Arabidopsis thaliana: one gene and its partner. The protein of the gene in region 1 interacts with the protein of each later gene in a pairwise test. Each region holds a gene or a part of one and is shown in the gene's direction. Other genes may lie near its edges.

The links. Proteins that work in one complex are often made in the same cells at the same time.
Region 2: the proteins of TCP16 (region 1) and ERF4 interact in binary tests that used the Arabidopsis thaliana proteins (3 or more experiments, as listed by UniProt).

What each region holds. Positions count from the first base shown.
Region 1 is NC_003074.8:16,529,321-16,533,511, forward strand, and holds TCP16 (TCP domain protein 16), read left to right. Parts: upstream 1-1,858; coding exon 1,859-2,356; downstream 2,357-4,191. UniProt on the Arabidopsis thaliana protein: Required during early processes in pollen development.
Region 2 is NC_003074.8:5,118,936-5,123,733, forward strand, and holds ERF4 (ethylene responsive element binding factor 4), read left to right. Parts: upstream 1-2,486; 5' UTR 2,487-2,536; coding exon 2,537-3,205; 3' UTR 3,206-3,627; downstream 3,628-4,798. Other genes in the region: AT3G15200 (Tetratricopeptide repeat (TPR)-like superfamily protein), read right to left, coding at 1-125.

The sequences.
Region 1 (4,191 bases):
GTCTCCTATATTAATCTCAAACAGATAAAGCTGAAAATCCCAAAAACCTCTTAGTAATTCAAAAAAAAAAAAAATAGCTGAAAAGCAAATCTCTATTTGATCAATTAATTCGAACGCTCAATAGTATGTAAGAAGTCATTTACACAGTACCTCGGTAAGTGTTTGAGGGTTAAATATTTGTTGAATTTTTAACATCACACTAATTTAGAGTATAATCTAAATTATAAGGTATACGTATGAAATCATAGCTCAATGATGATAGAATTCGTTAATTATTCTCGTAAAAGTGAATATTTGATTTAAAATGAGTCAAAATATATTTGATTTGACGAATTCTAAAAGTGTTCCGCTTGAGTTATAGAAACATGCTCAAAATGATGGTGATGACTTTTTTTTAGTTCTTTATTTGAAAAGTCAGTTTGGAAATGAAAACAGTAAGGCTGACCAAACAATATACAGTATGTTATCCAACTCTTATCCGTTTTAAGAAAACAAAGTATGTGTAAGAGTCGGGTAATATGATATCAGGTTATTTCTAAACCATCTGTCTTGTAACCCATCATTTTACTTGGATATATTTTCTTACATACAAATAATTTATTATAATAGTTTAGACATGTCAATTGGACTAGTCCAGTCTGACAAAGTCCAGAAAATTCGAATATATTTTATTTAGTCTGGTTCGGTTAGTAAAAATTTTGAAATAAAAAAATTTGAACTTATATTTCAAGATCTGGTAATAACAGGGACAAGACTTTTCCAGGTTTTTTATGTTTTTCTTTCCAGAAAAAAACAAATTTATAATTTATAATATTTCTGAAAGATGGATATATGAACAAAACAAATCAGTTGAAATTTAAATAACCATGAAAGCCAGTTTATTTTCAAAAAAAAAGGTTTAAAATCAAAAAAAATAATCTAATTTTTTTATTTAAACTCATAACAAATAAAATATAAAATCAGAAGATTTTAATCTAGACAGTCGAGCCAAGATTTGTTTTTTAGATTTATAGTAAGGCACAATTGAAAAACTAGGTTTAGGGTTTTCAATACTATTAAAAAAAACAAAAACAAATATTCCAATTAAAGAAAAATATTAACAAAAGAAAAGTAAAAAAAAAAATTAAAATTTTTTTAGGCCGGCTTGAATCTGGTGGGATTAAGCCTCAAAAACTTTTTATCCCGAATGGGTTAGCTTAAGGGAATTTTCTGGATATATATTTTTAAGTCTGAATCTCTATTTTCAGAATTGATAGTCCGGGGAATTTGACCCTAAATGAAATATAGTTTGATAAATAAACAAATAGACAATATCTGAAGAACAAATTAACCGTCCAAAAAAAAATATGCGAACTCCTATCCAAACACCTAGTTTAAAAATAACAATATAATATTTTAAATAACAATGTTGGAATATCATTAATTTCTAAGGAAAAAAACTAAAACCTTAACTTTAAAAAAATTAAAATAGGATAAAATAGGACTATACTTGTACAGTTGTATCAGTAAATAATAATTTCTGTAAACTGCCAGAAGAAAGGTTTATTTTCCTTTTTTTAGTGGACCTATCAATTAATTATTCCAATATAACTTCTTTTTTTCAGGTCCACTAAATATATTTTCTATACTACATATTATATTACATGATAATATTTCATTCTCAAATATACCTATATAAATTTAAGATTTCTTCTATTTACCAATTAGTTTAATTATTAGTTTGTTACACCATTATTGTTTTCCATACATAACATAAATAGAAATAGAGTTTTCTGTAACGTTTCTATATAATCCAAGTGAAACAAACATATTTTCCACTTCCATTTACAAAAGAAAAAGAAAAAAAAAACAGAGAAAAATGGATTCGAAAAATGGAATTAACAACAGCCAAAAGGCAAGAAGGACTCCAAAAGACCGCCATTTGAAAATTGGTGGCCGTGATCGTCGCATTCGGATCCCGCCGAGTGTTGCTCCCCAACTATTTAGATTGACAAAAGAACTCGGCTTTAAAACCGATGGTGAAACTGTCAGTTGGCTCCTCCAGAATGCCGAGCCTGCCATTTTCGCAGCCACGGGACATGGTGTCACCACCACCTCCAATGAAGATATCCAGCCAAATAGGAATTTTCCTAGTTACACCTTTAATGGTGATAATATTAGTAATAACGTTTTCCCTTGTACGGTTGTAAATACTGGTCATCGTCAGATGGTGTTTCCGGTTTCTACAATGACAGATCATGCACCTTCAACTAATTACAGTACTATTAGTGATAATTACAATTCCACCTTTAATGGTAATGCTACCGCCAGTGATACAACATCAGCAGCAACAACAACAGCCACAACCACAGTTTGAGCTTGTGAAGGAGGAGACGGCGTCGCTGAGAAGGCCAATTTGGAGTCTTTAAAATAAATATTGGAGATTTAAGAGTGTTCAGTTCTGGACGTTTTAGTTCGTTTCTGTTTGCTTTTTCTTTCCTCTTCATGTTTTTCAGTTTGAGAGTTGAACTAGGGTTTGTTTTAGTTCGATCGGTATCCATTTGTCTTTTTTTCTTGTATGCTCATGTTTTTTTAAGATGAATAATAATACCTAAAATTAATTATAGATGTAATTTAAAACTGTTTGTCCATGTTTGAAGTTTAGTAGAGAATTTGATTTCAACAATGGATTAAATTAAACTCTTCACAACAAATTTGATTCATTTTTTCTTTTTTGGACACGAACAATTTCGTTGGTATTCTAGAATAAATAATTCTGTCATAATATTTACCGAAACATAACTTTTATGTACAGTTATTTATTTCCGTTTTCTAATTTGTCAAAATTCGTTTGTCTTTCGAACCTAAAGGTTCCAACGGTTATGAAAACATTAATTAAAAACGGATATCAAAAACTATAATATAAATAAATTAAAGAGATAATAAAAGGAACAATTGAGTAAGAATGTGGTTTTATATCTGTTAAAGAAATTTCCAGCTCACACTTAGCTGGACAATAATTATTTAAGATTTGTTTCTGTATTTAGCTTCATACATCTATTTTAATATTTCTTAATACACAGATATATATTTTAATATATATATATATATATTATTTTCAAGATTCTCAAGGAAAAAAAAAGAAAAAAAAAAGGAAGGAAAACTAAATCTAAAGAATAAGAAACTAATTTTTGTGTAAATAAAAATTACTTTAATAAACTTTTAATAGTTTTCCCTTAAATTCTTTTACTTTATAGATTGGTTAATATGTATTTAGAGAAAAATACTATTTAACCTTTATTTAGATTAAAAAAAAAAACTTGAGTAAGAAAATGGTTTAAAATTCTTAAAGAAAATTCCAGCTCACTTTAAGCTAGAAAAAGAGATTATATAGTTTATAGTATAAAAATAAATTTAATCATACCATGTTTAATAAAATTTGAAGAAAAACTTATTTTCTTTTTCCATGAATAACAAGATTTTTCTTAACAATTAAAATTTCTTTTAGCAACATATATTAATACTTTAGTTTTCTGTTTTTTTGTTGGACATGGGTTCCGCCCCATTCCAAAAAGCCCGGCCCAAATATAGTTAGGCCCATAAGAAAGAGACTTGCGTTTGGTCCGTTACACAAGCTCAGCCCATTAAGTATCGTCAATTTGCTGGGAGCAGAAAAGAAAAATCATCCCGAGTTCATGACCGCATATATCTTCCCTATAAAAGCGGAAAAACACTGTCGAGAAAGGATCCCGAATTTCACGCTGACACATATGTAGAGAGTACATGTAATCTCCTTCGTACAAGTTTCCCCATTGAGTTCCTAGGAAGCCTTTTTTTAATCGTTAGTACGTACGAACATCTTTCGAACCAAACGCCTTGTCCGTCATTCTTGCACCTTTATTCAAACGAGTTGGATACATTGTCTTCTCGGATTGTCCTTGTAAACTCGTACCTTCACCTTGTATAATCTTGTATTCGCCAAACCTAATTCGTCTTATAAGAGATTATCCGTCCTTCTCCTTAAACCTTTACATGAATTGTATGATTTGAGTATCAACAGTTTTTGTTTAGGGAACTACGGTTTCAGCTTCAAGCAACTCTGACGGTTCTAATGGTCATCGATGGCCAAAAAAGTGCAAGAAAGTATTTTTCAAAATAGAATTACTCAGTTATACATAGGGAACAAAAAAAAGATAATACAATAATCGAACA
Region 2 (4,798 bases), about 11 Mb from region 1:
TTGTTCTTATGATTCGGTGTCTCGGGAGGAAAAACACGGCGAAAATCGACCAATGATGAGATCCGGCGCCGCGATAGAGCACTTTGTAGCTGAAACAAGATTTCAATTTTGTTTTTCCCTCCCATCTTCACTAAACTCTCTAAAGATCTTCCGAAGCAAAACGTTACATATACAACAACAAAAATTGCAATGAAAAATACATATCTTTTTACCAAAAATGAATTAAACCGGATTTTTTTAGTAAGGTTGAATGATCATTATTTGTTTAAGAACAGCATTATTTGTTAGTGATTGCTATTAAAATACGAATGATAACAAATTTTAGTATATGAAATTTCATTCGTTTCGGACAAAAAAAATAATTTTTATTGAATAAAGAATTTATTTCGATTGAAGTGATATTGTTTGGTACCGAAAGTTTTGCTTACAAACAAACAGAGGTTTTGAATATAGAGACAGCATAAAAGTGAAGCTAGCTTAAGTCTATAATCATGTTTAAGAAAATTAAACAGTAGTATCTTCTTAATGAAACGTAAAGATAATATATTTAAATAAATGAATCTTTTTATTTTCTGATATCCAGCTGATTCTGTGGCCCAAGAAACCCAATCCATTATCCATGGCGTGAAGACATATGTAGCTGTCGTAAAAGAATAAACAAAGACCAATTAAAAAAGAGCCAATTAACAACCAAATTACATAAAATTTATTAAAACTAATCTATTAATCACACGTCTTGTTCTGCCGTCAGAATGTAATTACCGTCCGTCTTTTAGGAAACAAAGAACAAAACAAACGGCGGGCCCACCGCCGTTAGAATCTCTCTCGGTTAGCCGACGCGGCCACCATTCTCTCTCTCTCTTCATCCATTCTCCACGCGTCGCGTTGACCACGTGGCACTATACATCTTTAAAACTCTTTCTATTTTATTTAAATAGCGAGTGCGTTGTGGGCCATCTTTGTTTTTCTTTGGCGGAGGGGCGGCTAAATAGCCTTTTGTTTTTATTTTAGTTTTATTCCGCGAAAGAAAAAGCAGTCAAACTCCAAGTTGAATTTGGAGCTGAGTCTACGAAGTCACGCATAACGCTCTTTCTTTCACGCGATCGCCGTCGGCACGTGTTTGGCGGTGAGATTCACGCTCGTACATGGAAACGCGGTTCCCAAGCCGCGCGTCCTCAAGGTGTTGCCACGTATTTTACATTTTTGCGTCATCCAATACTGTTCTTTGGTTTCTTCTTCTCTCTTCTTTTCAGGCGCCGCTGCTTAACTTATTTCCTAGTTTTTGAAGTTACTCTTGTCTTTAACTCACACTGCCATATAGTATGACTTTATTTACCTGTATTTTCAAATTTTTACACACATAACAGTATCTTTAGTTGTTTATTGGTCTTACAAAAAATTGGGTATTTTTTAAACCAAAAGTTTTGAGATACGAAAACAAAATTGATATGATCTGAAAAATTAGTTACTCACATATTTGTTCAAGTTTTTTTCTCAATTATGCAAGCATTAAGGTTGATCCAACAGGTTATGAGAAAACAAACTGAGTTCATTACAAGTGTACTCACTAGAGCAAGCTTGTGTAGTTATATCCTAAATCATGAGGGTAAATGGCACATGACAATTCGTAGTTAGATTAACTATATATATTAAATTAAGATGTGGGATTACATTCTTAATTCCCTCGGTTATGAAAATCAAAATCTTATCACCAGCATTCAAGGGAATACGCTGTGTAGACAAAACAGCAAACAACATGCATCTCCATTAAATGCGTCAAATACTGTACGGATTTCTTTAGTTTTTTTGTTACAAATTGTATCAAAAGTTTGTTAGTACATTGTACATACAGATAACAAATGAATTTCACTTTTTAGATAAAATAGTTTACACAAAAAAAAAAAAAAAAGACTTTGCATCCAATATTTTCCACCACAAAATAAATCATTCAAAATACGGATTGATTAAATATGTATCATAGTAAGATCTATATTTCAAAATTTATCCTTATTTCATTAAGAACTTTAATGCAAAGATTACATAGTCCAATTAATTTTCTCATTGCCAAATATTAATAATTAAATTAAAGATCCAGTGATAAAAAGTTTTATTTTAAAATTAAAGTCAATCAAATTAATGTATTTAATTTGTATCTATATTTTTGACAATGTATTCAACTTTTTAAATACATCAATAAATTCATTAATAAGATGATCAACAAAAATTGAAAACGCTTGGTGAGGTTAAAAAAGAAATGAAGGGTTGATAAGAAAAACAAAATTCTTTGAAAGAGGAAAGAAAAACACGTGGCAAAAGATAAGTGGAGGTAAAAAAGAAAACCATGAAAACCGCTGGTGTTTTGTAAGAGAAGCCGCTAAAACCATTTCAGGCTTTGACTGTTCACAACAAAGCGCCCCAAAAGGAGCGTCGCTTTTACTCTCTCTCCCATCCTATATATAAACAACTCTCTCCTTTCCTCTTCTCCCTTCAATTATCTATCACACCACCACTCTCTCTCTAATCTATCTATCCGAGAATGGCCAAGATGGGCTTGAAACCCGACCCGGCTACTACTAACCAGACCCACAATAATGCCAAGGAGATTCGTTACAGAGGCGTTAGGAAGCGTCCTTGGGGCCGTTATGCCGCCGAGATCCGAGATCCGGGCAAGAAAACCCGCGTCTGGCTTGGCACTTTCGATACGGCTGAAGAGGCGGCGCGTGCTTACGATACGGCGGCGCGTGATTTTCGTGGTGCTAAGGCTAAGACCAATTTCCCAACTTTTCTCGAGCTGAGTGACCAGAAGGTCCCTACCGGTTTCGCGCGTAGCCCTAGCCAGAGCAGCACGCTCGACTGTGCTTCTCCTCCGACGTTAGTTGTGCCTTCAGCGACGGCTGGGAATGTTCCCCCGCAGCTCGAGCTTAGTCTCGGCGGAGGAGGCGGCGGCTCGTGTTATCAGATCCCGATGTCGCGTCCTGTCTACTTTTTGGACCTGATGGGGATCGGTAACGTAGGTCGTGGTCAGCCTCCTCCTGTGACATCGGCGTTTAGATCGCCGGTGGTGCATGTTGCGACGAAGATGGCTTGTGGTGCCCAAAGCGACTCTGATTCGTCATCGGTCGTTGATTTCGAAGGTGGGATGGAGAAGAGATCTCAGCTGTTAGATCTAGATCTTAATTTGCCTCCTCCATCGGAACAGGCCTGAGCTTTTAACGGTGTCGTTTCAATTCGAAGCGCATGCGTTTCTTCTTCTTTTTGAGCTGTGAAAATTCGTTTTCTCATAGTTTTTCCTCTCTCTCTCTCTCAGTCTAAATTTATTACCAGTTTTTAGAAAGAAAAAACAGATTAAATCTGAGAGAGAAAAATATAATTTTAGCTGACATGGATCGTTATGTACATATTATTACATAACCGGAGATCTGAACTTTTGTTGTGTGCTTTTAATTTTTTGCGACTTGGTTTCACCCCATGTTGTTTCTCTATTTTTTTTACTACTTTTTTTTTTTTTGTTCTTCCAAATTTTCAATCAATAATTTGGTAATCTTCAGAATTATCTTGTCCAATCCAATTTCCGAAATTTTGATTATTACTACTTGTGGGTTGTGGCGGCTCCTTCTATTGGCTTTCCTTTTCTATCGTTACCACCAAATTAAAAAAATTGAAGGGACTAAAATTACTTATTTGACAAAACAAAATAATTGTAAGTTGAAGTATAAGAAAAACTAAAATTCAAAGTGAGATTAATAAAATGGTAGTTGAGTATCGTCGGCTTTTAACAATGGTCCAAGTTTCCAGCAGACACGCAGCCGGCGTGTGTGGGCCCTCGTTTTGCTCTCTGCGGCGTAAGTTAGAAAATTCTTTGCGCTTACGTCACTTAGTAGTAGGGTCCACTCACAGAGTACGGACATACTCATTTCTTTTCTTTCTAGCTAACTTGGAAGAGTCTTGAAGCTGAGAGTTAACACTCTTTAGGTCTGACAGAGAGAACCTAGATTTTTAATTTGATAGATTCTTAAATTTGGAAAAGAAACTGCCACAAAACAAAGATAAGATTTTGTTCAATTTTTTTTAAGAAAGATCTCTAGTTTCGTAAACAAATTTTTGTCGGCAAAAAATGGAAAAAGAGTACACAAAGTCTCTAAAGAAACAACTATGACTAGTCTAGATATTGGTTTTTTTTATCTGAAAGCTTTTAGAATATATAGCTTATAGTGCAAAATTAATTTTCTTTAAACTATGACATTGAATTGATTCGGAGTTGAATTGGACTAAACCAACATCATTTGACCCGTTAAGCTAACAATAGTGTTATTTATAGATATTCTTTTGGCCAATTATTTCTAGATGGCTGGTCTTTTTGAATTTTATTTCGTTGTTTTAAATTTGTGCGGAAAGTAAATTTAACTTGCGAAATTTTTTATTGAATGATGGCGTGATGTGTTGAAAATGTAAATATAGGTACAAAACAATGATGTTAAAAGTTTGAAAGAAAACGACGACGTATAAGAGGGTGTGAAATAGAAAGCGGCTTCATAATGAGAGGCAGAGAAGAGAGGTTTTTGATTGGATTCTTGTCTCCAACTCCGCAATCAGAAAGAGTCAATAACTATCCTTTCGTGATTCTCGTGTAGATCCAACGGCTAGATTCTATTCTTATCCACGTGTCTGGATCATACACTTTCATGTTTATTAACTACGCAAAAAAAAAAAAAGAGTGAAGCGGCACCGACGGCCAAGCAGCGCGAGTCATCATCATCCTTTTCAGAAGAGACCGAATCAGAGACGGTGGCGCCCACAT